4 linked regions of the Anolis sagrei genome follow. The protein of the gene in region 2 purifies or fractionates together with the protein of the main gene of each other region. This does not show direct contact. Links are inferred from orthologs where the notes say so. Each region holds a gene or a part of one and is shown on either strand. Other genes may lie near its edges.

Region 1 (7,682 bases), on a different chromosome or scaffold from region 2:
GATGTTGTACTATGCTAATAATACACTATAATATATTGTATGTATATATATATCTTGTAAGCCACTCTGAGTCCCCTTCAGGGTGAGAAGGGCAGCATATAAATGTTGTAAATAAATACATTTTGGAATTACGGCACACAGAATCCCCCAGATAGCTAACTGTGTATAGATTATGTGTACAGATATTCATTTCGTCTCAAAAGCATTGCATAAATTATTGTTGAAGGCTTTCATGGCCGGAATCACTGGGTTGTTGTAGGTTTTTTCGGGCTATATGGCCATGTTCCAGAGGCATTCTCTCCTGACGTTTCACCTGCATCTATGGCAAGCATCCTCAAAGGTTTTTTTTTTTTTTTTTGGTCGTGTCAGTAGCAACTTGACAAACTGCAAGTCACTTCTGGTGTGAGAGAATTGGCCGTCTGCAAGGACGTTGCCCAGGGGACGCCCGGATGATTTGATGTTTTATCATCCTTGTGGGAGGCGTCTGTCATGTCCCTGCATGAGGAGCTGGAGCTGATAGAGGGAGCTCATCCGCCCCTCCCCGGATTCGAACCTGCGACCTGTCGGTCTTCAGTCCTGCCGGGACAGGGGTTTAACCCACTGCGCCACTGGGGGCTCCTCAGAGGTAGCTCCAACAGACAAGAGTTGTTTGTCCTACCCTGGTCATTCCACAGATATATAAACCCTTTCCCTAGTTCGAACAGACCTCACTACCTCTGAGGATGCTTGCCATAGATGCAGGCGAAACGTCAGGAGAGAATGCCTCTAGAACATGGCCATACAGCCCGAAAAAACCTACAACAACCCATTGCATAAATTAGTATAAAACTGATAAAAATAGGTGTGCAGGTGGCTAAGTATCTTTTGACCAAAAACGGGCAACAGCAACGGCATTGTCTGTAGCCTCCAACAATTCCTCCTCTGTACATGAGGCAGGGCATAGTGGACGAGCCTACAGATGCGGAGTTGTCTGTACATGAGGCAGGGCACAATGAACAAGCACACAAATGCAGAGTTGTCTGTTCTGTTCCATGGTCACACTGTGTGTACAGATAGATAGATCTAGATAGAAGTGTACTCGGCCACACTGTTGGCTCACGTTTCCTCGCTTTCCCTCTCTCGGAATAGGATGGCCACGGTCTCAAAGGACGGGACGTGGAAGCTGTGGGACACGGACGTGGAGTACAAGAAGCAGCAGGACCCTTACCTCCTCCTGACGGGGAAATGCACAGCAGAGGCTCCCTGCCGCATCGCCCTCTCGCCGGACGCCCGGGCCGTGGCCATCTCCAGCCGCACCAACATCGCGCTCTACAACACCCGGCAGGGCGAGGAGGAGGAGCGCTTCGAGGGCGTCCACGGGGAGCACATCACGGACTTGGCCTTCGACGTGAGCGGCCGCTTCCTGGCCTCGGCTGGGGACCGGGCCATCCGGGTCTTCCACAACACTGTGGGCTACAAGGCGGTGATCCAGGAGATGGCCACCCTGATGAAGAAGGCCACCAACGAGTCCACCAAGGAGAGACTGCGGCAGCAAGTGGCCAGCGCCCAGAGAGCCCTGGACAGCATCTATGGCAAGCGCAACTGAGCTTTTCAGTCGCGCATTGGGAGAGCTAATAAATACAAAAATAGTATTTTTTTGCACAATTTTCCACCATGTTGGGTTTCTTTGGATCATGAGTCAACAAAAAAGCCAATGCAATCCTAAGCTGCCTCCATAGGAGTCTATTGTCCGGCTCAAGGGGAAATCATATAGGATAGGGGTCTCTCAAGCAAGGTCATTGGTGCGGCTTCCAATCTAAACTTTAGCTCGAGGGTCACCCTAAGTCTCCAGTGGCATCGACATCTGTGATAATGCGGCGTGTCTCATTAAGAGCCACATCCACTGTTGTAATGTGGGGAGATGTATTCCACACTTGGCATGCATATCCAGCAGCAGAGTAGCAAAGCGCAAGTGCAGGTGTCTTCACTGTGTCTGGTTGTGATCCCCAGGTTGTGCCAGTCCGCTTCCGTATGATGTTATTTCTAGCACCCACCTTTTACTTGATAGCAAAGCAGTGCTTCTCGTAAGTCAGAGCACAGTCTGGCATATCTCCCAGGTATTTGGGTGTGCTGCAATGCTCCAGTGGGATTCCTTCCCAGGTAATAATCCTGAGATGCTTGTCTGTTCAGACGATGAAAACCACACGTCTGCATTTTAATGGATTAGAAATCAGTTGGTTTTCCCAGTAATAGACAGCAAGAGCACCAAAGCTTTGAAGAGCTTCCGTTCAACCATTTCAAAGCTTCGTACTTGGGCAGTGATGGCACGATCGTCAGCATAGATAATTTCCTCAGAACTCGAGATGCTTGTCTGTTCTGAAAGTGAAAAGCAAACGTCTGCATTTTAGATGGGTTGGGAATCAGATCATTTCCCCTCTCAATAGGTCGTAAGAGCACCTAACACTTTGGAGAGCTTCTGTTCGACCATTTCAAGACACCCGGCTTGGGCGATGATGGCATGATCGTCAACATAGATTAGTTTAGATCAGGTGGTGCAATATATTATATTATTAGCACAATATCAGCATTATACATTCCCATATTGTACTATACCACTATACTGTAATATTATTAGTAATACTACATGTAATATAAAATATATAAATCTTGTATTATTATTAGTATTATATTGTATTACATTATAATATAATTATTAATACAAGTGTATACATTATATTATTAGTACAGCACAATATTAGTATTATATATTATTATATTGTACTATTCCACTATATTGTAATATTATTAGTAATATTACATATTATATAAAATATATAATTCTTATATTGTTTTATTATTAGTAATATTACATGTAACATAAAATATATAATCCTTCTTTGTATTATTATTATTATTAGTACAATATATAATACTGATATTGTGCTAGCCTTATAATATAATTTAATATAATATATTGTATAAAGGATTATACAATATTATTAGTATTGTATTGTATTACATTATAATATAATTATCAATATTATATGTGTATACAATATATTAATAGCACAGTACAATATTAATATTATATATTACAATATTGTATTATTCCTCCATACTCTAATATTACATGTAATATAAAATATATAATCCTTATATTGTATTATTATTATTAGTATTACATATTGCATTATAATATAATTATCAATATTATACGTGTATACAATATATTGCTTAGGCGATCCCTCGTTGGACGAGTAAGATGGTCTTCCTTGATGACTATTTTTGTGGGTTTGTAGGTGGCTGCGGAGCCCTCTTCTTGACCCGCATCTTCTCCCACAGTGAAGGCATTGGTTTCCAGGTGGAAGGCGGATCCAGTCGGGTTTGGCTTGACGCGCCTTCCTCCTGGCACATTTCTCTCTTTCACCCTCTACTCATGCCTCCTCGAATTCTGCAGCACTGCTGGTCACAGCTGCCCTCCAGCTGGAGCGGTCAAGGGCCAGGGCTTCCCAGTTCTCAGTGTCCATGCCAGAGTTTTTAAGGTTGGCTTTGAGCCCATCTTTCAATCTCTTTTCCTGTCCACCAACATTGAGTTCGGAATAGAGCAACTGCTTTGGGAGACGGTGGTCAGGCATCCGGACAATGTGGCCGGTCCAGCAGAGTTGATGGTGGAGGACCATCGCTTCAGTGCTGGTAGTCTTTGCTTCTTCCAGCCCGCTGACGTTTGTCCGCTTGTCTTCCCAAGAGGTTTGCAGGATTTTCCAGAAGCAGCGCTGAAGGAATCGTTCCAGGAGTTGCATGTGATGTCTGTAGACAATCCACGTCTCGCAGGCATAGAGCAGGCTTGGGAGGGGAATAGCTTTATAGACAAGCACCTTGGTCTCCCTACGGATGTCCCTGTCCTCCAACACTCTCTACTTCATTCGGAAGAATGCTGCACTCGCAGAGCTCAGACGGTGTTGTATTTCGGTGTCGATGTTGACTTTGGTGGAGAGGTGGCTGCCAAGGGAGCGGAAAGGGTCAACATTTTCTAATGTTACAACATTAAGCTGTATCTCTGGCATTGGGGAGGGGATGGCTGGTGTCTGCTGGAACAGCACTTTGGTTTTCTCGATGTTCAGTGACAGGCCAAGCTTTGTGTATGCTTCTGCGAAGGTGTTTAGAGTGGCTTGTAGGTCTTCTTCTGAATGCGCACAGACGACATTGTCATCAGCATACTGGAGTTCTATAACAGCAGTTGTTGTAACCTTGGTTTTGGCTTTCAGTCTGCTGAGGTTGAATAGTTCTCCAAAGTTGTTTAGAGTGGCTTGTAGGTCTTCTTCTGAATGCGCACAGACGACATTGTCATCAGCATACTGGAGTTCTATAACGCCAATATATTAATATAATATTTTATATTATACCCTAATATAATATTATATATTAATATAGAAATCTATATAAATCAGTATAATATACTCAAAAACCTAATGCATGTAAATCTTTTTAGAAAAAAAAATCATGAAAATATGCAAATGATTGCAAATAGTCCCAAGCATGTCATTGAAAAGAGACACATCCCTTCTTTCCAGCTTGCAGACTTTGGCGCATGCGCACTCTCCGCCGGCTCCGCCACTCTTCCCTCCTCCGCCTCCCAGTGGGCGGGGCGAAGGCGATGACGCGTTACGCAGGGCGGTGTGGGCGGGGCGTCCTGCGCGCGCATGCGCACTCCCTCCTCCGAGAACGGCGGCGGCGAGAGTCGTCGCCGGGTCCAAGCGGGCGCCATGTCGGGCCGGTCGGTGCGGGCCGAGACCCGGAGCCGCGCCAAGGATGACATCAAGAAAGTCATGGCCGCCATCGAGCGCGTCCGCAAGTGGTGAGGAGGGGACGGGGAAGGGGAGAGGAGGGAGGGGGCTCGAGGAAGGAGCGCGCCGGCCTTTCAGCCAATCGCCGGCAGAGGCCGAGTGAGTGACAGCGCGACAGCCAATCAGCGTGATGCGTGGAAGCCCTTTTCAGAAAGTCACCGAGCGAGCCACGCGATTGGTGACAACGGCGGCCAATCAGCGACGTGACAGAAAGGAACCCTGGATTGACGTTTATGTAGCCCAATAGGATTTGAGGAGCTCGGGTTGCCATGGGGGCAAGGGTGGGCCTTTGGTTCCAGGCCTAAGCTGGCAGATTTGCATATTCTCAGTTTATTTGCATAGTTGATTTACATACTGTCATTCATTCAAAGGGAAGGCTGGCCATTGCCTTGACTGGCCTATAGAGAGATAGAAATATATATATATATATATATATTATATGATTATACAATATAATAATAATGCAATATTATAATTATATATTTTATATTACATGTAATATTACTAATAATATTACAATATAATGGTATAGTGCAATAGAATTCTAGAATCCTAGAGTTGGAAGAGACCTCACGGGCCATCCAGTCCAACCCCATTCTGCCAAGAAGCAGGAATATTGCATTCAAATCACCCCTGACAGATGGCCATCCAGCCTCTGCTTAAAAGCTTCCAAAGAAGGAGCCTCCACCACACTCCGGTGCAGAGAGTTCCACTGCTGAACGGCTCTCACAGTCAGGAAGTTCTTCCTAATGTTCAGATGGAATCTCCTCTCTTGTAGTTTGAAGCCATTGTTCCATTGCGTCCTAGTCTCCAAGGAAGCAGAAAACAAGCTTGCTCCCTCCTCCTCCCTGTGGCTTCCTCTCACATATTTATACATGGCTATCATATCTCCTCTCAGCCTTCTCTTCTTCAGGCTAAACATGCCCAGCTCCTTAAGCCGCTCCTCATAGGACTTGTTCTCCAGACCCTTGATCATTTTAGTCGCCCTCCTCTGGACACATTCCAGCTTGTCAATATCTCTCTTGAATTGTGGTGCCCAGAATTGGACACAATATTCCAGATGTGGTCTAACCAAAGCGGAATAGAGCATGGGGAGCATGACTTCCTTAGATCTAGACACTATGCTCCTCTTGATGCAGGCCAAAATCCCATTGGCTTTTTTTGCCGCCACATCACATCCCTGGCTCATGTTCACCTTCCTCCCCACGAGGACTCCAAGATCTTTTTCACACGTACTGCTCTCGAGCCAGGCCTCATCGTCCCCCATTCTGTATCTTTGCATTTTGTTTTTCCTGCCAAAGTGGAGTATCTTGCATTTGCCACTGTTGAACTTCATTGTGTTAGTTTTGACCAATCATCTCTCTAATCTGTCAAGATCATTTTGAATCCTGCTCCTGTCCTCTGGAGTATTGGCTCTCCCTCCCAATTTGGTGTCGTCTGCAAACTTGGTGATCAATATAGTAATATATAATACTGATATTGTGCTATGCTAATATAATATAATGTAAATAAATTGTACGAAATATAATTTTTCTAATATTATAATGTAATGCAATATAATACTAATAATAATGTGATAGTATAGTTATATATTTCTATTACATGTAATATGACTAATAATGTTACAATATAATGGTATAGTACAATATAGTGATATATAATACTGATGTTGTGCTATGCTAATAATATAATGTAATGTACTATATTGTATAAACATAATATTTATAATATTATAATGTAATGCAATATAATTCTAATAATAATACTCTGATATTATAATTATACATTTTATATTACATGTAATATTACTAATAATATTACAATATAATGGTATAGTACAATATAGTAATATTTAATACTGATATTGTGCTCTCCTAATAATATAATGTAATGTACTATATTGTATAAACATAATATTTATAATATTATAATGTAATGCAGTATAATTCTAATAATAATGCAATATTATAATTATATATTTATATTACATGTAATATTACTAATAATATTACAATATAATGGTATAGTGCAATATAGTAATATTTAATACTGATATTGTACTATGCTAATAATATAGTATATTATATGTTTATGTGTGTGTGTGTGTATATATATATATATATTGTAAGCCACTCTGAGTTCCCTTTGGGGTGGGAAGGGCGGCATATAAATGCTGTGTGTGTGTGTGTGTGTGTGTGTGTGTGTGTGTATATATATATATATATATATATATATATAAATTATTCTTTTCCAGGGAGAAGAAGTGGGTGACAGTGGGAGACACCTCCTTGCGGATATTCAAGTGGGTCCCTGTGACGGACAGCAAAGAGGTAAGTACATGTTTCAAAAGACAACATTGATGCCTTTGGCAGGAGACACATCCATCCAGTCATTCTAACCCCCTTCTGTCGGTCAAGAAGGCATCGTCAAAGCCCTCCCAACAGATGCTCATCCAGCCTACCAAGAAATGTCTTGGGATATGCTATATTATTTTTATACATATTATATAGACCTTATTTATTATATCAATATTATCTAGTACTATATAATACTAATATTGTGCTATGCAAATAATATAATTTATTTATTTATTTAGTATATTTGTATACACTTCTCAGCCAATCGGCGACTCTCTCCCTTTGGGGTGAGAAAGGTCAGCATTTAAATGTAGTAAATAAATACGCCAAGAAAACAAGCCATATCGAGCTGGAAGGGACTCCCCAAAGGCCTTCCATCACAACCCCCTTTTGCCAGAAATACACAGTCAAAGCCCTCCCAGCAGATGCTCATCCAACCTCTGCTGGTAGCCCAACTCATGGCCTTCCTTCTCTTCTCGCTTTCAAGAAAGAGAAGTCCAAG
Region 2 (7,452 bases):
GCATATGTCAAGATTTTCCCCCAAGAGCGCCTCAAGAGCGCCCCTGGGCAAAATCAACTATACTGCAAATGCTTACTTTGCATAATGGGTTGAGCCGCCCCTGCTTGGGAGATGTAGTTTTATATGGTTTTTAGCTTTCCCTGTGAAAAAGGGGTGGTATCTTACCAAATTACTACTCCCATGACTCCACAGCATTGAGCTAAGACAGTTAAAGTGGTGTCAAACCACATTCATTCTACAGTGCAGATGCACGCCAAATCAGTAAAAAAATGTACCATCCATAGTAATGACCAGTTGACCTAATTCTAGGCAAAATTTCTGGCTGAAAGGCATGGGCCAATGAAGAACAATGGGAAGCCTATGTAGCCCAGCAGCCTGCCTATGTAGCCCAGCAGTGATCAGTTTGATTGGCCTGCTAAGCCAAGGTGAGAGACCCATCAGGACAAGAGCACAATGCCGCACTCCCTTCATGCCTCCCAGAAAGAGAGATACAGCAGAGACCTATTCCCTCTGATCCTGGGGGCAATACACAGCCACCATAGCGAGTGGTATGGATAACCACAACCTTCATGAGAAGGCTGGTGCCTGAATGCAAGCAATCATGGATCTATAACTGAACAAGTTATCTTAGCAGGGTGCTCCCTTCTCATATCATGAGTATGATGTCAAGCACAAATACCCCCCCTCCCTCCAATCAACCACCAAATTATATGAACTTGGTGGCATGGCAGAGTGTTCCGCAGGTTAACATGGCTTTTATTTTTATCAGAATGAATTATGCAAAAATCCGAAGGTCTGGAGAAATCCAGCAGCATATACCAGCGCCCAGAGAATACCTCCTAATCCCATTAAGGTTTAAACTTTTTTTAAAGCATCACTTCTGCATTCTTCAGCTGTGCCAACAATGGCCCGGGCCACATGGCCCAGACCCCCCAGAGCCCCAGGACAGGGCCCATTCATAGCCTCATCCTCCAAATAGCCCCTCATAAACAACCATTGCCACCTCCTAACCACTCTGGGAGCCCCAGCAGGCTCCCAAGCCCTATTTTGCCTCTTTTTGCATTTTACTGGTATTGTAGACATTCACTTATCCGCAGATCTATATAACTTTCCTCTCTCAATTAACCTACCTCATAATCCCCTTCCTTGCACTGAATCCCCTATCCCATCACCTATGTCAACCCAACCCCCTGTGGATACGGAGATTCAGATGATCTCCCTCTTCACCCATGGGTTCATTTGCATATGTTTCCCTGGGGGGGGGGGTCAGCTTGTCTAATGTCTAGATACCTTTGCCTTCACAGAACCCTCATGTATATGTTTATCTTTTCCTTCCTATTATTTCACCTGTTTTCCCCAATGGATGCCCAGGGAGATTGACTCCCTTTGTTAACCTCATGTAGCCCCTCGTGCATGTGTCCCTATGTCCCCTGGATAGTGGGTCTCTGTGGGTCAGGTCCCCCACAGTCCTTGGGATTCCCCTTTGTGTGTATATGTTTAATTTCTTTATGCTTTGTATTATATAAAACTTGGAGAACCAGCCACCATGGTGACCTTTCAAGCCAGCACGTCTTCGCTCAGGGACACCTCCAAGCCACTCCCTGAGCTACAACTTGATAACCTTGGATGTAATCACCCAGCAATTGTGAACGGTACCCAGGCTACATGGAACAAGAGATATTGGAGCAGGGCCATCTGTAAACTATGTAGCCACTTGGACTTCTATAGACATTTACCACGAGAGAGAGAGAGACAGATCTTGTGTGAGGAGCGACTTGAAAAACTGCAAGTTGCTTCTGGTGTGAGAGAATTGGCCATCTGCAAGGACGTTGCCCAGGGGATGCCCAGATGTTTTTGATGTTTGACCATCCTTGTGGGAGGCTTCTCTCATGTCCTCGCATAAGGAACTGGAGCTGATAGCTCATCCGCGCTCTCCCCAGATTCGAACCTGCAACCTGTCGGTCTTCAGTCCTGCCGGCACAAGGGTTTAACCCACTGTGCCACCGGGGACTCCACATAGACATGACATGTTCTCAATGGGGAGAAGTTCGCTGTCTTGTTTTCCTACATGTCACTTCTGTTTTCCCAGGCACGAATCAATGATCCAATCACCCAAAGCAATATTTTTTTGTTGGACAACAAAGGACATTGGTGCGGAGTCATCACCCCACAAAGTCAGAAATTCACAGGACCATTTGCAAAACAATAAAATACTCAGCGATACCTTAATCCCATTCGATTTTTCCAACTTGTTACTATGTTGCTGTTGTGTAAAGTTTCCGTTCAGCCCCTCTTCAGCCATTGGAGAGCACTACATCTATATCCGAGGCAAGGAAAGTTCTCCCATGACCAGTGAACACCGCAGTCACACCTCTGCAGAGAGACTCCTCTGACATCATCGGAGTTTGGCCAATCACAGCCAATCTGGGTCCAGTTGCGGGCAGTGGGAATTTTGAATCTGTACTGTATAAAATGCTTACTTTTACTATGTCTGTATCTCAGCTTACTTTGGTGGGATACTGCGGGTTGAGATCTCAACCAGCTGATTGAATAAAATACTTTGGTGGCTCCATCTCCAATTTAGCTCACCAGGCGCTCGGACTCGTGAAATGGTTGTCGACTGGTACCAGCTGCTGCTTAACAGAGCCGGTATCTGTGCCTTCAGGTTCCAGTATCCATGGCAGGGTCTCATCCATGACCGTTTTAAATTGCTCTCAATTTCAAGTAAACACACAAAAAATAAATAAATTAAGTTAAAAGCTTGGAGTCGTGGTTTGAGTGACTCTAGAGACCAGCTAAAATAAGTTAACATTCAGGTTAACGTAAGTCAGAAATAACTTGAAAGTACACAACAAAAAGGGAAATTACATTAGGATTGGGCTACCTAATCCTCTCTGAATCAAGCCTTATAATGTGCTCCTTAGACCAGACCCATCCACGTCAACAGGGCGTCCTTTTCAGTCAAGGCCATATAATGCAGTTTAAAACTAGTCTTCACGCATGGTTTATTTAACTCATATCATATCTTGTGTGATTAATGTGTATTTTACAGAAATGCTTTGATTTGTATCTTTTATGGAAATTAATTTTAATATGTTTGTAGAATTTTTATAATTGTTAACTGTGCTGTGGGAAGGCTGTGGGAAGGCAGATAGGAAATACAATTATTATTACTATTATTATTACATTACATATGGCCAGTGTAGGCTCATATTAATGCAGCCTAGTACAGTTCAAAATACACGAGTCTGCACTTATATAATACAGTTCCAAAGTAATAAGGGCCTTATCACACTCCACTCTTAAATGGCTATTGTTCCACTTTAATGGTAATGGCAATATTTTGCAGAATGACCTAGCTTATAGTTTAGCAAGGCCCAGTAGCTTTTTTGGCTGACAACAATAAATGGCCTGGGTTTCTGTGAGTTTTCTGGGCTGTATGGCCATGTTCCAGAAGCATTCTCTCCTGATGTTTCGTCTGCATCTATGGCTGGCATCTTCAGAAGTTGTGGCATGTGTTGGAATCTAGGCAAGTGGGGTTTATATATCTGTGGAACATTCCGAGTGGGAGAAAGAACTCGTCTTGGGTTGTTGTAGGTTTTTTCGGGTTGTATGGCCATGGTCTATAGCAGGGGTCCTCAAACTTTTTAAACAGAGGGCCAGGTCACAGTCCCTCAAACTGTTGGAGGGCCGGATTATAATTTGGAAAAAAAAAAAACATGAATGAATTCCTATGCACACTGCATGTATCTTATTTGTAGTGCAAAAAAACCCACTTAAAACAATACTGTAATTAAAATGAAGAACAATTTGAACAAATATAAACTTATTGGCTGATGAGATAGGATTGTTGTTGTTGTTGTTGTCGTTGTGTGGTTTCAAGTCGTTTCACACTTAGTTTGATCCTGAGTGAGGGCCGGATAAATGACCTTGGAGGGCCGTATCCGGCCCCCAGGCCTTAGTTTGAGGACCCCTGGTCTAGAGGCATTCTCTCCTGACGTTTCGCCTGCATCTACGGCAAGCATCCTCAGAGGTAGTGAGGTTTCACTACCTCTGAGGATGCTTGCCATAGATGCAGGCGAAACGTCAGGAGAGAATGCCTCTAGACCATGGCTATACAGCCCGAAAAAACCTACAACAACTCAGTGATTCTGGCCATGAAAGCCTTCGACAACTTTTGGCTTGTTTGAGGCAAGTGTGAATGTTGCAATTGGCCACTTGATTAGCATGGAATGGCCTTTCCCCATACGAACAGAGAAGGGCGCTCCTGACGCAGGCTGCAATGGCAGGCCGCCGTCCAGCAGGGGGAGTCCCGCGGGGCGCTCCTCTGCGCCTCTCTCTCTCCCCAGCCGGCGGCGCTCTACCCGCCCGCGGGCGGCGTCTCCATGGTGCAGCGGCGCTCCATCTCCTGAGCCGACATCCGCCTCCCCTCCGCGCTTTGTACTGCCCAGGGAGGGAAGATGGCGGCGCGGGCGGGCTTCCAGGCGGTCGCTCCGAGCGGTGGCGGCGGCGGAGCCGGGCCTGGAGCGGGGCCTTTAGGGCCTGGCGCCGCGGGGGGGCCTCCGGTGCGGATGGGCCCGGCCCCGGGGCAAGGGATGTACCGCTCGCCGTTGCCCGGCGCCGCCTACCCGGTACCGACCCGGCCGGGCTTGGGAGGGGAAAGAGAGGAGGCGAGAAGGGGCGGGGCCAGGAGGGGGCGGGGCTTGGCGGGCGATGACGTCGGCGGAGGGAGCCGCACTGCAGTGGGCGGGGCCTGGCAGGCCTAGAGGGAGGGAGAGGGAGGAGGGGAGCCATTCCAGAAAGATGGAGGCGGAGAAGAGGGCGCCATCCTTTCAGGGGGGATTTGGGGGATAGTAGGCTCTCTTGAAAGAGAGGGCAATATGGGGGTGAGGCTGCAAGGGCGAGTGGGGAGAGACTCCGGGGTGAGCATGACGCCCTCGAAAGGGGGAATGGCGGGGGATCCAAGGGACACGGGGCTTCAAGGGGGGAGGGAGAGGGGGAGGGGAGGCAGGGCGGGGCTGGGCCAGAGGGCCTTTTGTGGCTTGCCTCTCTTCGATTTCACTGCCTTTGTAGCATCTCCCTCCGCCTGAGTGTGTTTTCCTTTTTTAACAAGGAAACAAAAGGAGAACAATGTCTCAGCATGAAATCAGAGGCATAAAATTATAGTTATGTCCTTGCTAGTGAGCTGGGGTATTTTATTAGGATTTGAATTTATCTATTTTAAACCATTCTACATTTAATTTTCTTTCAAGTTTATGTTGTTTATTGTGTTGTTTTTTAGCCTGTGGGGGAGGGCGCTTTGAGTCTCTTTATGAGAGAAAAAGCAGGATATAAATAAATAAATATTATTATTAAGGTTCCTTCTCCGGAGGTTTTTAAGCAGACTATCTGTCGGGAGAGCTTTGATTGTGTGCTCCTGCATGGAAAAATGGGGTTGAAGTGGAGGGCCCTTGCAAATCCATAGAATCCTAGTGTTGGAAGAGACCTCATGGGCCATCTAGTCCAACCCCCTACCAAGAAGCAGGAAAATTGTATAAAGCACCCCTGACAGATGGCCAACTGTATGATGCTAGGATTCTATGATTTAGTACTATTTATTTATTTTGTATCAAAAGCATTGCTTGAATTAGTATAAACTAATAAAAATAGAAGGAGTGCAGGCGGCTAAGTATCTTTTGACCAAAAACGGGCAACAGCAATGGCATTGTCTGTAGCCTCCAACAGTTCTTCCTTTGTACGTGAGGCAAGGCATAGTGGACCAAGCATACAGATGCGGAGTTGTCTGTTCTGCTCCATAGTCATACAATAATAATGGGCGAGGGTTCAGGTTTCTGGACCCAGAGGTGCTGAAAAGATATTGAAGCTAAAGGCTGGCTTATGCAGTTAGTAAGGCTAAATGATAAGTATTTTTTCATTACTTTGCATGTCAAGTAAGAGTTGCATGGCTGGATGCTTAACTGTTGGGAAGGTAATGACTTTTCTTTACATGGAGGAACAGCATGCAATGGCTGGGCATAGGCCAAACACTCTCAACCTCCAGCTGTTTGGGCCTCCGTCTCCCAGAATTCCTGACCATTGAACAAGCTGGCATGGGCTTCTGGGACCTGAAAGCCCAAATAACTGGAGGGCCACAGTTTGAAGAGACCTAGCATAGACTGAGAGGGCCTGTCATTGGTGCTGCTTATTTGGGGTGGGGGGGGGGGGGAGTGAAGAGAGAAATCAGTCCTGAGGGCTTGAAAGCTGTCTGGGGGGGTGGGATCTCTGACTCTGTGCAAAGGGCTACAATCCCCTCCCCACTCTGTCCAAAAGCACGCACCTTGTATAGTGAGTCTCTAGGCATGGGCAAACTTGAACCCTTCCAGGTGTTTTGGACTTCAACTTCTGCAATTCCTAACCAGCCCAGGCCCTTTCCTTTTCCCCCTCATCCCCTTAAGCATTCCAGCCTAAGAGAAAAGAGAACTTTCTGGGAAATGTTACATTTTTGGAAAGGAGGGAGAAAATAACCTATAGGAACAGATTTAGATATTCCAGAAAGGACTGTGAGCCAGCTTCTTGTATAAACCAGTTGTAATAAATGTTCTTTGCAACTAAGGATAAAACTATTGCAGAAGAATGAATGCAGTTTAGCACCACTTTGGTTCCATACTTTGGAGTTGTGGGAGTTTTAGTTTGATGAGACATCATCACTCTTTGGCAGAGAAGGCAAAGGACCCTTTAAAATTACAACTCCCAAGATCCCATAGTATGGCGCCATGGCAGTTAAAAGTGATGTCAAACTGCATGAGTTCTACACTGTAGATGAACCCAAGGTGTTTTGCTGTTGAGTAACCAGTGCTTTTCCTGACTGAACACTGGTAATCACAGGGCTGTTTTTCCTCCTTTCCCAGCGTCCCGGGATGCTGCCTGGCAGCCGCATGAACCCCCAGGGACCTGCAATGGGGCCTCCGGGGTATGGCGGGAGCCCTTCAGTCCGACCAGGGATGGCTCAGTCAGGGATGGACCAGTCTCGCAAGAGGCCAGCCCCTCAGCAGATCCAACAAGTGCAGCAGCAGTCCGTGCAGAATCGTAATCACAAGTAAGAAGCGCTTTTTCTCCTCTAGGGGTGGGGGACTACAACTCCCATTGCCCAACTATATTGGAATAGGATGACGGAAAATGTAGTATAATACACCAAGTTGGGGAAGGCCAGTTACAGATTTCTTTTCAGATGTGTCTTTAAAAATACCTTATACTAGTGTTTCAGTAACATGATCTTAAAGTTGGAAGATGGGGTGACAGAAGCTACAAAATGAGAGGTTGAGGCAGTATGAGCCCTGGTAATTGTCCCAATCAAATTAGGCGCGTGGATTCTTTTTTTTTTTCAGTAGTGAGTCAACATACGTGTAGATCTCATAACTTCAGTGAGTCCACTCTATCTGGATCTGTCAGTCAAATTTGGACCTCAGTATTTGC
Region 3 (6,896 bases), on a different chromosome or scaffold from region 2:
GTTGAATGGACTGCTAACAAGCCTTCTAGCTTTTAAAACAGAGACCATCCAGTATGAAAAGAGCAGTATAAATCTATTTGCTGGATTCCATTCATAAACACCTAGAGATGAACAAAACCTGGCTCTGTTTTATCAGACACAAAATCTTGAGCTACATGAAATTGAAGGACACCGGCTCTGTATGAGCTATTCACTTGCCCAACACAAAACAGGCTAAAATTACAAAAACACAATCAAGTTCACCAAAATAAGACTCTCTAATTACATTCATATCATGTCATCTGATCCAAAAATACCAAACGACACCATGATTGCCTATTGTCTCTCAATAACCATTTCGCTGCATTGTTTTAAGTATGCCACAATGACTTCCACAATAGAAACTACACAATAACCCCCTGCAAAAGAATGAAACGCTAAAATGCTGTAAAGGTTTAACAAAAGGGGATGATTCTACCAGGTTACAACCTTCAATTATATAATTTCAAATAAATTCAAGCAGCAATTACAACCTCTTTCTAACACTGAATTTAAATTGTACAAATCAAACAATACATACCAGCATACATTTGACTTACTGTGTGAAATAAACCTTTATAATAGATCCATCTGGTTGACCCATTCCAATTAAAATATTGGGGGATGTACATATTTTGCCCTTTATATGGCATTTAAAGGAAAAAACTATTCTTTCAAGCCTCCCTTCTGAAAAGTGTCTGAAACGGATTTAAGCTAACCCTTCACACTTGAAAGTGCACAAAGGTTTTGAAGGAAAAGATGAAACGTTTCTTTTGCAGCAAAGTAAGCCTGTCACATAAACGCCCATCCTATTTGCCATTTTTGTGCCTATTTAATATCAAATCCTTCTGATTTGAGAGAGAGAAAGAAAATAAAGATATATAGGCCACAAAGCACATTCTCCGATCTTCCACGCTTCAGACAAAAGGAAAGGGAACCAATTGGGAGTCAAATGACACTTTAGGACTGATCAGAAAGAGGCTGCACAAAGAGAAAAGCAGCCAGAACAGCAAAAGTTCACCGGAAGGTGAGGATGAGAGATGAGCCCATGAGCGGCAAGAGTCCACTCAAAAGCAGATTGAGAAGGGTTTCCCCCCCCCCCCTAAGAATATGAATATTCACAGAAATGAGGGATGTGCCCTCTGGGAAGAGTGGCCCTGAAAAAGGTGAAAAGGAAGTCAGGAGATCCTTAGATGGGACTGTAACTCAGGTACATGCTTCACCTGGAGAAGTCCCAATCAGGGGCAGATTGGGAAGGGAGAAAAGGAGTCCCCAGTTCAAAAAGATCTCACTGATCAAAGTAGGGTGGAGAGTAGTTGAACTGGAGTAATGATCCAATTCTGTATGTAAACCAGATTCATTGCTAGCTATTGGGGGGGGGGGGGGGCTAACAGGAGAAAAAGTCAGGATAGGACAGAAAAGGCTACAAGAGTTCAGACAGAGGAGAACAGAGATTTGAATACTCTGCTGGTCTGAAGAAGGGTCCAGCAGAACAAAATGGGAGAGGATGAAACCACTCCTGGGGTGCATCACAGGCTGAAGTATCTATCTATCTATCTATCTATCTATCTATCTAATAAAAGTGAAAATATGTTTGTATGTATGAATGTATGCTTGTATCTATGTGTTCAAGATGGCTCTCACATTGAGAGAGAGTCCCATGACTCCTGCCAGCGACAAATCTGGACCAAATTTGGCACGCAGACCCCCACAGGACCAAATTTCAGTCCTGACAAGTTGGGAGGGAATTGTCCTTGGATGTTGGGAGTTATAGTTCAGCCACAAACAAAAGACTCCTCTAAACCCAGCTGATGATGAATCTGGGCCAAACTTGGTACACACATCCATCATGGCAAACTTGGCCAGGTTTGGGGAATACTGGCCAGGTTTGGGGGGTGGGGACTGACCAGGACGTTAGGAGCTGTTGTATAGCCACATTTTTTGGCCTTTTCGAATAGGTCTACTTCTAAAAACCAACGCCATGCAACGACAGACAGCTTCTAATGTGGATCCTTCTGAAAGAGCAAATGCTCTTTTGAAAGAGAGTATGAAAAGAAATCTAGGGCGGGAGGGAATGAGAAGTCGGTGGGTCAGTCAGGGCTGAGCTGTGAAGGGGTCATGGGGGCAGGGAAAGCAAAGGCCTTGGGCCAATAAGAGAGGCGGCTGCGTAGGAGAATGAATGGGCAGGGTGGCGGGGGGAAGAGGCCAAAGGAGCCAAGGAGGGCACAGGACCAAGGCTAGTGCTGGGAGTGGGGTGAGGGAAACCGAACCTGGGGAGGAATGGATCCCCTAGCAGGGGAAGGGGGGGAGAAGTCTTGCCTTGGGGGTTATGGGGCAAGTCTTGGCTGTGAAGGGGGGTTGTCTGAAGAAGACTGGAGCAGATTGGGAAGGGGAGAAAGGGAGGGCAGACAAGGCCAAGGGATGTGGGGCACTAGGAAGCGACCCAGGAGGGGGCGGGGCCTGTTTGGGGGGGGGGGTAGAAGCAACTGAAGGGAAGAGCTGGAGGAGAGGCAGGCGAAGGAAGAGCGGGGGTGGAGTGGGGGAGAGAGAGAAGAGCGAGCCTATCTGCCCCAAAGGAAGCCAGCACTTGGAGGGGGGAGGGCGGGTTCTAAGGGCTGCCCCCTTCCCTTATTCTCCAAAGGAACTCCTCCCCCAAAAAGGACTACCCTGTGCCCTCTGCTCCCCTCACCATTTGCGGACTTTCTCGATGGCGGCCATCACCCGCTTGATATCATCCTTAGCGCGGCTGCGGGTTTCGGCCCGCACCGACCGGCCCGACATGCTGCTGAGGCGGCGAAGGGGGTTGGACGCGGCGCGGGGGGGGGGGGAGGCAGGCTCCGAATGGACGGCTCCCTCCCTCGCTGAGGAGGTACAAGAGGCAGCGGTAGCAGCAGCAGAGGGAGAACAAGTCCGGCCTGGCTGGTTGGCCCCCTCACGCACAATGAAGGCTCCTCCCCGCCTCAGCCCGCCTCGAGGGAAGAAGGCAGGCAGGGAGGGAGGAGCAGCACGCGGAGGCGGCACTGCGCAGGCGCCAGCGCGGAGCACGTAGCCTTCCCGAGCCCGTTGGGGGCGGGACCTGTGCGAGAGGCAGCCTTCCCGCCCATTTGGCCGCTGAGGGCATGGAGTTCCCTCAGGGTTGGCCCTCTACCTTGGGAAAGGCTCGTTGTCTGTTGACGCCTAGCCTTTCCAAAAGTGGAGAGCCAAGCCTGAGGGGACTTGAGGCGTTTAACGACCGCCTTCTAAAACACCTTCTTTTCTGCAGTCCATAAAGCACCATTTGTACAAAGGAGAAGACCAGTCCCAAAGCATCGCAAGCCCAACCACAAGTTCCCATAGGGCTGGTGTCCAAAAGGAAAGCCCGCCAGGCCCTCCATTTCTTCTTCGAAGAGACCCCAAACGCCATGCAGTCCCAATGCCATTCGCTATTTTATGTGTCACAAGCCAGTTGAGAATACTGTTACAATGTATTAAAAAATACAAGGAAAGTTAAAAGCTTGGCATTATACCAGATTTCCTCTGACCAGAAGCTGGCCACTTGGAATGCCTCTCGTGTCACTGTGAGAAGGTCCTCAATTGTGTATGTGGTTGCGATGTAATAGGTCGTCAGCAGTTTGCTCTTCTCCACACGTGCATATTGTGGACTCCACTTTGCAGCCCCATTTCTTAAGATTGGCTGTGCCTCCCGTAGCGCCAGAGCGCAGCCTGTTCTGTGTGCCCAGGAGGGAGTTTCTCATCTGGTTTCAGCCACTGATTGAGATTCTGGGTTTTAGCTTGCCATTTTTGGATTCCCGCTTGCTGAGGTGTTCCTGCAAGTATCTCTGTAGATCTTAGGAAGCTGTCTCTTGGTTTAAAGCGTTGGCGTGCTGGCTGATATCCAAACAGGATGGGCCAGAGATGCCCATGGCTGCTACTTCCCGACAGATGTCAGGTGGTGCAATACCATCTAAACGAGGGGTCCTCAAACTAAGGCCCGGGGGCCGGATGTGGCCCTCCAAGTTCATTTACCTGGCCCTCGCTCAGGGTCAACCTAAGTCTGAAATTACTTGAAAGCACACAGCAACAACAATCCCATCTCATCAGAGATAGTTTATATTTGTTAAAATTGTTCTTCATTTTAATTATTGTATTGTTTTAAAGTGTGTTTTGCACTACAAATAAGCTATGTGCAGTGTGCATAGGAATTAATTAATGTTTTTTTCCCAAATTATAATCCGGCCCTCCAACAGTTTGAGGGACTATGACCTGGCCCTCTGTTTAAAAAGTTTGAGGACCCCTGATCTAAACAGTATGATTTCTCCAGCAGTGTAGAGCGTAGACATCCTGTGATAATGTGGCATGTCCCAATAAGAGACACATCCACTTTTTTGTGTTTTTTTTCCTTTTTTTATTATATACTAGTTTGGGGACCCGGCACTGCCCGGGTAATTTGAGAAAGGAATTATGTATCAAGGTTGCTTATTTATCAGTGATTTATATGGCTCGCAGTGGTCTCAGGAAGTTAGTGAAGGTACTGCAAGTCCCATCATCTGTGGTCCTTCCTCCTCCAAACTGCACCAGAATGGAGAGTGGGTCGTGGGGGCTCTGTGTGCCAAGTTTTGTTCTTGATCAATCATTGGGTGAGGGTCACAGTGGTCTCAGAAAGTGAGTTTAGGTACTGCAAGTCCCATCAGCCATAGTCTGTTCTCCCCCAAATCTCACCAGAATGTTGAGTTGGCCATGGGGGCTCTCTCTGCCAAGTTTGGTCTTTCTTGGTATTTGGATAAGTGTCGCTGTGGTTTCAGGAAGTGAGTGAAGGTACTGCAAGTCCCATCATCCATCGTCCGCCCTCCTCCAAACAGCATCAGGATGTAGAGTGGGTCATGGGGGCTCTGTGTCCCAAGTTTGGTCTTCATCGGACATTAGATGAGGGTTGCAGCCGTCTTGGGAAGGGAGTGGAGGTACTTGAAGTCCCATCATCCATGGTCTGTCCTCGAAAGTGCACCAGGATGTAGAGTGGGTTATGCGGACTCTGTGTGCCAAGTTTGGTCTTGATCAGTCATTGGCAAGGGTCTCAGTGGTCTCAGGAAGTGAGTGAAGTGACTGCAAGTCCCATCATCCATTATCAAATTCTTCCAAACCGCACCAGGATGTAGAGTGGGTCATGCAGGCTCTCTGTGTAAATTGTGGTCCTGATCCATCATTGTTGGCAGTTGTAATGGTCTTAGGAAGGGAGTGCAGGTATTGCAAGCCCCATCGTCCATGGTGCATCCTCCTCCAAACTGCACCAGGATGTAGAGTGGGTCATGGAGACTCAGTGTGCCAAGTTTGGTCTTTATCGGTAATTGGATGAGGGTTGCAGTGGTCTCAAGAATTGAGCCAAGTTACTGCAAGTCCCATAATCCATGGTCCATTACCAGCCAAACCACACCAAGACGTAAAGTGGGTCATGAGAGGTCTATGTGCCAAGTTTGGTCCTGATCAGTCATTGGATGAGGTTAACAGCGGTCTCAGAATGTGAGTGATGGTACTGCAAGTCCCATCATCCATGGTTCATCCTCCTCCAAACTGCAGTAGGATGTAGAGTGGGTCTTGCGGGCTCTGTGTGCCAAGTTTGGTCTGTATTGGTAATTTTCTGACAGAGCCCCTGGCCTTTTCCTTTCCTCTCTTTGTCATCTCGGAATCTTGGAATTGAGGCTAGCCAATCAGAGACCATATGCAAATTTCCTTCTCTCATGTCTCCGTTTCTGCCATGAACCCTTTTCTCCACCAGGGGCTCCTGTTGGAGCTGGCCAATCAGAGACCATATGCAAATAGCACCACATTGGCGGCCAATCGGAATCTTGGAACTTTCTGGCTGGCCAATCAAAAAGCCTGCACATACACCGCCACACTTCCGCCGCATACAAACTTTGACTTTTATTATATACTAGCTTGGGGACCCGGCGCTGCCCGGGTTATTAGAGAAAGTGGGTAATGGCAGTTCTGTATGCCAAGTTTGGTCTTTATTGGTAATTGGATAATGGCTGCATTGTTTTCAGGAAGTGAGTGAAGGTACTTGAAGTGCCATCATCCATGGTCCACCCTCCTCCAAACAGCAGCAGGATATAGAGTGGGTCATGGGGGCTCTGTGTGCCAAGTTTGGTCTTTATCAGTCATTAGATGAGGGTGGTAGTGCTTTCACTAAGTGAGTGAAGGTAATGCAAGTCCCATCATCCAAAGTCCATCCTCCTTCAAACTGCAGCAGGATGTAGAGTGGGTCATGGGGGATCTGTGTGCTAAGTTTGGTCTTGATCAGTCATTGGATTAGGGTCGTAGTGGTTTCAGTAAGTGAGTAAACGTACTGCAAGTCCCATAATCCAAGGTCAACCCTCCTCCAAAACTGCAGCAGGATGTAGAGTGGGTCATGGGGGCTCTGTGTGCCAAGTTTAGTCTAGATTGGTCATTAGATGAGGGTTGAGCAATCTTGGGAAGGGAGTGGGGGTACTTGAAGTCCCATCATCCATGGTCTGTCCTCCAAACTGCACCAAGATGTAGAGTGGGTCATGGGGGCTCTGTGTGCTAAGTTTGGTCTTGATCAGTCATTGGATGAGGGTAGCAGTGGTTTCAGTAAGTGAGTAAACGTACTGCAAGTCCCATAATCCATGGTCAACCCTCCTCTAAAACTGCAGCAGGATGTAGAGTGGGTCATGGGGGCTCTGTGTGCCAAGTTTGGTCTAGATTGGTCATTAGATGAGGGTTGCAGCAATCTTGGGAAGGGAGTGGAGGTACTTGAAGTCCCATCATCCATGGTCTGTCCTCCTCGAAAGTGCACCAGGATGTAGAGTGGGTCATGGGGACTCTGTGTGCCAAGTTTGGTCTTGATCAGTCATTGGCGAGGGTCTCAGTGGTCTCAGGAAGTG
Region 4 (7,449 bases), on a different chromosome or scaffold from region 2:
AGGTATTAGGGAAAGCAACTGAAAGAAGGAAGGAAAAGAAAGAGGGAGAAAGTATGAAAGGGGGAAGGAAAAAGAAAAAGTCAAGAAAAAGGATGAGAAAGGAAAGGAAGGAAGAAAAAGGAGGTATGAAAGAAAGCTACTGAAGGAAGGGGAGTGGAAAGAAAGAGAAATAAGACATGAGAAAGGAAGGAAGGAAGGAGAGGGAGGGAGGAAGGAAAGAAGGAAGGGAACCAACTGAATGAAGGGAAAGAGAGAGGGAGAAGGAGTATGAAGGAAAGGGAGAAGGAAAGGAAGAGAAAGAAGGCATGAGAAAAGAAGGAAGGAAGGAAGGAAGGAAGGAAGGAAGGAGAGGGAGGAATGAGGGAAAGCAAATGAAGGAAGGAAGGGAAAGAGAGGGAGAAGAAGTATGAAGGAAAGAGAGAAGGAAAGAAAGAGAAAGAAGACATGAGAAAAGAAGGAAGGAAGGAAGGAGGGAAGGAAGGGGAGGAAAGAGGGAAAGCAACTGAAGGAAGGGAAAGAGGGAGGAGAAGAAGTATGAAAGAGAGAAGGAAAGAAGGAGAAAGAAGACATGAGAAAAGAAGGAGGGAGGGAGGAAGAAGAGGGAAGGCTGAGGGAAAGCAACTGAAGGAAAGAATGGAAAGAGAGGGAGAAGAAGTATGAAGGAAAGAGAGAAGGAAAGAAAGAGAAAGAAGACATGAGAAAAGACGGAAGGAAGGAAGGAAGGAAGGAAGGAAGGAAGGAAGGAAGGAGAGGGAGGAATGAGGGAAAGCAACTAAAGGAAGGGAAAGAGAGGGAGAAGGAGTATGAAGGAAAGAGAGAAGGAAAGAAAGAGAAAGAAGACACGAGAAAAGAAGGATGGAGGGAAGGAGGGAGAGAAGGAAGGAAGGAAGGAGAGGGAAGAATGAGGAAAAGCAACTGAAGGAATGGAAAGAGAGGGAGAAGGAGTATGAAGGAAAGAGAGAAGGAAAGAAAGAGAAAGAAGACACGAGAAAAGAAGAAAGGAAGGAAGGAAGTAGAGGGAAGAATGAGGGAAAGCAACTGAAGGAAGGAAGGGAAAGAGAGAGGGAGAAGGAGTATGAAGGAAAGAGAGAAAGAAAGAAGGAGAAAGAAGACATGAGAAAAGAAGGAAGGAAGGAAGAGAGAGGAATGAGGAAAAGCAAATGAAGGAAAGATGGGAAAGAGAGAGTGAGTATGAGGTATGAAGGAAAGAGAGAAGGAAAAGAAGGAAGGAGGGAAGGAAGAAGACGGAGGAATGAGGGAAAGCAACTGAAGGAAGGAAGGCAAGGAGGGAGAAGAAGTATGAAGGAAAGAGAGAAAGAAGACATGAGAAAAGAAGGAGGGAGGGAAGGAGAGGGAGGAATGAGGGAAAGCAACTGAAGGAAGGGAAAGGGAGGGAGAAGAAGTATGAAGGAAAGAGAGAAGGAAAGAAAGAGAAAGAAGTCATGAGAAAAGAAGGAAGGAAGGAAGGAAGGAAGGAGAGGGAGGAATGAGGGAAAGCAACTGAAGAAAAGGTGGGGAAAAGAGAGAGGGAGAAGAAGTATGAAGGAAAGAGGGAAGGAAAGAAGGAGAAAGAAGACATGAGAAAAGAAGGAGGGAGGGAGGGAAGGAAGGAGAGGGAGGATTGAGGGAAAGCAACTGAAGGAAGGAAGGACAAGAGAGAGGGAGAAGGAGTATGAAGGAAAGGGAGAGGGAAGAAAGAGAGAGAAGACTTGAGAAAAGAAGGAAGGAAGGAGAGGGAGAAGAAGTATGAAGGAAAGAGAGAAGGAAAGAAAGAGAAAGAAGACATGAGAAAAGAAGGAGGGAGGGAGGAAAGAAGGAAGGAAGGAAGGCGAGGGAAGAATGAGGGAAAGCAACTGAAGGAAGGAAGGGAAAGAGAGAGAAGTATGAAGGAAAGAGAGAAGGAAAGAAAGAGAAAGAAGACATAAGAAGGAAGGCAGGAGGGAGAGGGAGGAATGAGGGAAAGCAACTGAAGGAAGGAAGGGAAGAGAGGGAGAAGAAGTATCAAGGAAAGGGAGAAGGAAAGAAAGAGAAAGAAGACATGAGAAAAAGGAAGGAATGACGGAAGGAAGGAGAGGGAGGAATGAGGGAAAGCAACTGAAGGAAGTAAGGGAAAGAGAGGGAGAAGAAGTATGAAGGAAAGAAAGAGAAAGAAGACATGAGAAAAAGGAAGGAAGGGAGGGAGGGAGGGGAGGGAGGAATGAGGGAAAGCAACTGAAGGAAGGAAGGGAAAGAGGGAGGGAGAAGTATGAAGGAAAGGGAGAAGGAAAGGAGAAAGAAGACATGAGAAAAGAAGGAGGGAGGGAAGGAGGGAGGGAGGGAGGAAAGAAGGAAGGAAGGAAGGAGAGGGAGGAATGAGGGAAAGCAACTGAAGGAAGGCAGGGAAAGAGAGAGGGCGAAGGAGTATGAAGGAAAGAGAGAAGGAAAGAAGGAGAAAGAAGACATGGGAAAAGAAGGAAGGAAGAAGGAAAGATGAAGGAAAGAGAGAAGGAAGGAAAGAAAGAGCTTCAAAGAAAAAGCAAACCCAGGCAATGCACACTTTAGTATACACCAACAACATCCCTTCCACCTCAGGACACCATTCATTGAGGTGGAGTTGTCCTTCCTCCATTCCTGAAGGCCTCCTTTTCCCTCAGGCCCGCCTCAAGTAACAAAAGTGTTATTTCCCTTCCACAAACCTTACTTTGGAAACTTTAAGGCACTGACTCACCTGTGTTTCTCTCCTCTGGCTCCACTATATCCTGCTCATATGTATCATAAACTTTAGGGCCAAACAATGAGAAGAAAAAAGACCCAACAACTCTCCTCCTTCTCCCTCAACAAAGATTTCCCCTTTCCCCCCTGCGAATGGAATGGGCCCGCCCTCTGCTCCCGCTTCGCAAAGGCTCGGGCTGTACCACTCCTGACGGAAAAGAGGGGGGAACACAAGAGGAAAATTTCCACTCACAGCTTCACCACATTCTGGACCACCGCCGCCATCTTGCCCGCCTCAACTGCGCCTGCGCGAACCGCCCGCTCGGGCTCTCATGAGGGATGCTCGCGCACGGCACGGCGCATGCGCTCCGTGGCTGCGCATGACCCTTCGCTGTTCCCAGCTCATGCTGTTCAATCCCGAGAACGGGGTGTAGTTTGTGTGCGCATGCGTTGAATGATCTCATTTTTTTTTACGCCACAGGAGGCTTCGACGGATGCCCTGAGCGACCAAAAAAAAGACAAGACTGCGTTTCGCTATGAATGCGGTTGGCTGTGGAATCTTAAGAGGAGAGGTTGCAGTGCCAGGAGCCAAGATGGCGCCTGGAGAGTGACACTCGGGGTCTGCGCATGCGTGAGCCCCAGTTTGGCCAGGAAGAGGGTCAAAAGGTCTTATTTACTACAGAGAAAGGTGGTGGTTGTGGTTGAGAGGAGAAAAGGTAAGGAGAGAGAGGGGCAGAATGTATTGTCGAAGGCTTTCATGGCCGGAATCACTGGGTTATTGTAGGTTTTTCCGGGCTATAAGGCCATGTTCTAGAGGCATTTTCTCCTGACATTTCGCCTGCATCTATAGCAAGCATCCTCAGAGGTAATGAGGTCTGTTGGAAGTAGGAAAAATGGGTTTATATATCTGTGGAATGACCAGGGTGGGACAAAGGACTCTTGTCTGCTGGGGCTAGGTGTGAATGTTGCAATTGGCCAGCTTGATTAGCATTCAATGGCTTGGAAGTGCCTGGGGGGAATCTTTTGTTGAGAGTGATTTTCTGTGCCTGTTTGTTTCCCCTCTGTTGTTTTGCTATTGTAATTTTAGAGTTTTTTTTAATACTGGTAGCCAGATTTTGTTCATTTTCATGGTCTCTTCCTTTCTGTTGAAATTGTCCTCATGCTTGTGGATTTCAATGGCTTCTCTGTATGATGGAAAGAGAGAAGGAAAGAAGGAGAAAGAAGACATGAGAAAAGGAGGGAGGGAGGAATGAGGGAAAGCAACTAAAGGAAAGATGGGAAAATAAAGAGGAACAGCTTTCATGTGATATTTTAGGAAAAGCTTGAAAACTTGGCTGTTCCACCTTGCTTTTGAGGAATGAACAATAATGCCATGCCTGTCCCAGTGTATACTCGTCCCCTTGATGCACTTCCTAGCAAGTAATTGGTCAGTCGTAAGGCCGAACAGGGAATAGGGTTACAGCCTGTGTTAGACGGGGTTACACTCCCCCTGAAAAAGCAGGTTCGCAGCTTGGGAGTGATCCTGGACTCATCGCTGAGCCTGGAACCCCAGGTCTCAGCGGTGGCCGGGAGAGCTTTTGCACAATTAAAACTTGTGCACCAGTTGCGCCCGTTCCTTGGGAAGTCTGATCTGGCCACAGTGGTCCACGCTCTTGTTACATCCCGAATAGACTACTGCAACGCGCTCTACGTGGGGTTGCCCTTGAAGACGGTTCGGAAACTTCAACTGGTCCAGCGAGCGGCAGCCAGGCTGCTCACTGGGGCGACATACAGAGAGCACACCACCCCTCTGCTGTGTCAGCTCCACTGGCTGCCGGTTCAGTTCCGAGCCCAATTCAAGGTGCTGGTCTTGACCTACAAAACCCTGTACGGGTCCGGTCCAGCGTATCTGTCCGAACGTATCTCCCTCTACGTCCCACCACGGAATTTAAGATCATCTGAGGGGGCCCTGCTCTCGACTCCACCGCTTTCCCAAGCAAGGCTGGTGGGGACGAGGAGCAGGGCCTTCTCAGTGGTGGCCCCCCACCTGTGGAACTCACTCCCAGTGGATATCAGGGCATCGACATCACTCCTGTCCTTTAGGAGAAAGGCAAAGACGTGGTTGTGGGACCAGGCCTTCGGGCAATCTGCTAACTAGATAGGACAACCAGGCAATTAGGACCGGCAGGACTGATATATGTGGACTGATAAATGTGGAAGAAAACTCTGAACCATGAGATAGCGAACACTGACTGCCAAGAAGGAAGAAGCGGTTTGTATCGGTTTGTATGAAATTTTATTGGTTTTATTGGTTTTAACGGGTTTAGATGCAATGTGTTGTTGTTGTTGTTGTTTGCTAATTTGTTATTTTGTTTTATTGCTTATTATTGATGTATGCTATGGGCATCAAATTGTGCCTTGGATGTGTAAGCCGCCCTGAGTCCCCTTCGGGGTGAGAAGGGCGGGGTAAAAGTAAACCAAATAAATAAATAAATAAATAAATAAACTCCAATGACATTGAACATCGAGAAAACCCAAGTGGTCTTCCAGCAGTCACCAGCCAATCCCTCTCCAATGCCAGGAATACAGCGTAACGGTGTAACGTTAGTAAATGTGGACCATTTCTGCTCTCTTGGCAGCCACCTCTCCACCAAGCAGTGCTTCTTATAAGTCAGAGTACAGTCCAGAGTAACTCCCAGGTATTTGGGTGTACTGCAGTGCTCCAGAGAGATTCCTTTCCAGGAAATCCTCAGAGCTTGAAACCTTTGATTGTGGGAGTTGAGGTCCAAAAAACCTGGAGGGATGAAGTTTGCCCATGCCTGATGTAAATGAATTATATTTTACCTTCCTTTTGCAGCTTCCTGTTCCATCTTCAGAGGCAACATGGCCAGCAATCTGGACATCTTCGTGGGGAACACTACTCTCATCGATGAGGAGGTCTACCAGCTCTGGCTGGATGGCTATTCAGGTGCGACAGGTGTCTCAGGTGTCTTTCTTTGTTTTGGGGCTATTTATTTATCGTGTCATCAGCAACTATACCATTATATTACAATTCTAACAGAACAAAACAAACACACAGATTAAAAAGAAAAGAAAAAAAAACACAGATTTTGCAAACTTGGTAGTTGGTTAAATGTCCTTTGACCAGTATCTGGCCACTTGGAGTGCCTCTGGGGTTGCCGCAAGAAGGTCCTCCATGGTGCATGTGGCAGGGCTCAAGGTGCCAGGTGGTCAGTGGTTTGCTCTTCTCCACACTCGCATGCCGAGGATTCCACCCTATAGCCCCATTTCTTAAGATTGGCTCTGCATCTCTGCAACTCTTATTATTTTCAGTAATAAATGGGTTACCTCCTGCTGTAAACATATGAGAATAGAGCATAAAGCCTTGATTGAATGATACCCACCAAACTGACCAAGGCTTAACCTTTGTTATCCAGCCTGGTGTCCTTGCCCTTAGCAAAACTATAAGTTACTATCTCTGGGGAGAGGGTGGGGGGGGGGGTCACGTTCGACTTCAGTTGTAAGAAGGTCCTCCATTGTCAGAGGTGGCCCTAGGTAATTTTCAATGGTAAGCAAACAGTATTCCCCCCCCCCCCCCAACCAATCACTGATATATATTTTCCTTTCATCGTGGGAGTTCTGTGTGCCATATTTGGTTCAATTCCATCATTGGTGGAGTTCAGAATGCTCTTTGATTGTAGGTGAACTATACATCCCAGTAACAACACATATGTCAAGGTCTATTTTCCCCCAAGAGCGCCCCTGTGCAAAATCAACTATGCCGCAAATGCTTACTTTGTGTAATGGGTTGAGCCGCCCCTGTCCATTGTGCATGTAGCGGGGCTCAGACTGCATTGGAGTAAGTGGTGTGTGGTTTGCACTTCTCCGCACTCGCATGCCGTGGATTCCACTTTGTGGCCCCATTTCTGAAGGTTGGCTCTGCATCTCGTGGTGCCAGAGCACAGTCTGTTCAGAGCCTTCCAAGTCGCCCACTCTTCTGAGTGCCCAGGGGGGAGTCGTTCATCTGGTATCACCCATGGATTGAGGTGCTGGGTTTGGGTCTGCCACTTTTGGACTCTCGCTTGCTGGGGTGTTCCAGCAAGTGTCTCTGTAGATCTAAGAAAACTATGTCTTGATTTAAGTCATTGACGTGCTGGCTGATACCCAAACAAGGGATGAGCTGGAGATGTCTCTGCCTTGGTCCTTTCACTATTGGCTGCTACTTCCCGGCGGATGTCAGGTGGTGCAATACCGGCTAAGCTGTGTAATTTCTCCAGTGGTGTAGGGCGCAGACACCCTGTGATAATGCGGCATGTCTCATTAAGAGCCACATCCACTGTTTTAGTGTGGTGAGATGTGTTCCACACTGGGCATGCGTACTCAGCAGCAGAGTAGCATAGTGCAAGGGCAGAGTTTTGGGGCTAAACCTGATCTCTCAATGTGGCCATATATTGCTTGGGAATTGCAGTCCAGCCCACCTTGAAGGCGCAAGGTCAAACAAGACTCATTGTGAAGCAAGATTTGCCTTAAAATACTCTTGGCTTTGGATTCCTGTATACACACACATACATACATATATATGTATATTTGTGTGTGTGTGATTTGATTGTATACTGTGTGTGTATATATATCTATATAAATAAAAATGTAATGTTCGTTTGTGGGATTCACAGAACTCAAAAACCACTGGACGAATTGACACCAAATTTGGACACAAGACACCTAACAACCCCATGTATGTCCTTCACTCAAAAAAAATGGTTTTGTCATTTGGAAGTT

What was found.
Region 1: the proteins of SMARCD1 (region 2) and BCL7B purify together in Homo sapiens (affinity purification with mass spectrometry; 4 studies listed by BioGRID and IntAct, counting the BioPlex papers as one, with this or other methods). This does not show direct contact. The link is inferred for Anolis sagrei from reciprocal best matches to the Homo sapiens genes SMARCD1 and BCL7B.
Region 3: the proteins of SMARCD1 (region 2) and BCL7A purify together in Homo sapiens (affinity purification with mass spectrometry; 5 studies listed by BioGRID and IntAct, counting the BioPlex papers as one, with this or other methods). This does not show direct contact. The link is inferred for Anolis sagrei from reciprocal best matches to the Homo sapiens genes SMARCD1 and BCL7A.
Region 4: the proteins of SMARCD1 (region 2) and DPF2 purify together in Homo sapiens (affinity purification with mass spectrometry; 9 studies listed by BioGRID and IntAct, counting the BioPlex papers as one, with this or other methods). This does not show direct contact. The link is inferred for Anolis sagrei from reciprocal best matches to the Homo sapiens genes SMARCD1 and DPF2.

Annotation. Positions count from the first base shown.
Region 1 is NC_090031.1:33,200,469-33,208,150, reverse strand, and holds the start of BCL7B (B-cell CLL/lymphoma 7 protein family member B), read left to right. Parts: upstream 1-4,666; 5' UTR 4,667-4,679; coding exon 4,680-4,834; intron 4,835-7,077; coding exon 7,078-7,153; intron 7,154-7,667; coding exon 7,668-7,682. Other genes in the region: TBL2 (transducin beta-like protein 2), read left to right, coding at 1,129-1,585. UniProt on the Homo sapiens protein: Positive regulator of apoptosis. Plays a role in the Wnt signaling pathway, negatively regulating the expression of Wnt signaling components CTNNB1 and HMGA1.
Region 2 is NC_090022.1:140,190,574-140,198,025, forward strand, and holds the start of SMARCD1 (SWI/SNF-related matrix-associated actin-dependent regulator of chromatin subfamily D member 1), read left to right. Parts: upstream 1-4,435; 5' UTR 4,436-4,460; coding exon 4,461-4,631; intron 4,632-4,766; exon of another isoform or gene 4,767-4,880; coding exon of another isoform or gene 4,881-4,922; intron 4,923-6,887; coding exon 6,888-7,075; intron 7,076-7,452. UniProt on the Homo sapiens protein: Involved in transcriptional activation and repression of select genes by chromatin remodeling (alteration of DNA-nucleosome topology).
Region 3 is NC_090034.1:32,155,495-32,162,390, forward strand, and holds the start of BCL7A (B-cell CLL/lymphoma 7 protein family member A), read right to left. Parts: upstream 3,012-6,896; 5' UTR 2,800-3,011; coding exon 2,708-2,799; intron 1-2,707.
Region 4 is NC_090032.1:10,258,476-10,265,924, forward strand, and holds the start of DPF2 (zinc finger protein ubi-d4), read right to left. Parts: upstream 3,005-7,449; 5' UTR 2,977-3,004; coding exon 2,945-2,976; intron 2,932-2,944; exon of another isoform or gene 2,708-2,931; intron 1-2,707. Other genes in the region: FIBP (acidic fibroblast growth factor intracellular-binding protein), read left to right, coding at 3,146-3,407, 5,528-5,638. UniProt on the Homo sapiens protein: Plays an active role in transcriptional regulation by binding modified histones H3 and H4. Is a negative regulator of myeloid differentiation of hematopoietic progenitor cells. Might also have a role in the development and maturation of lymphoid cells.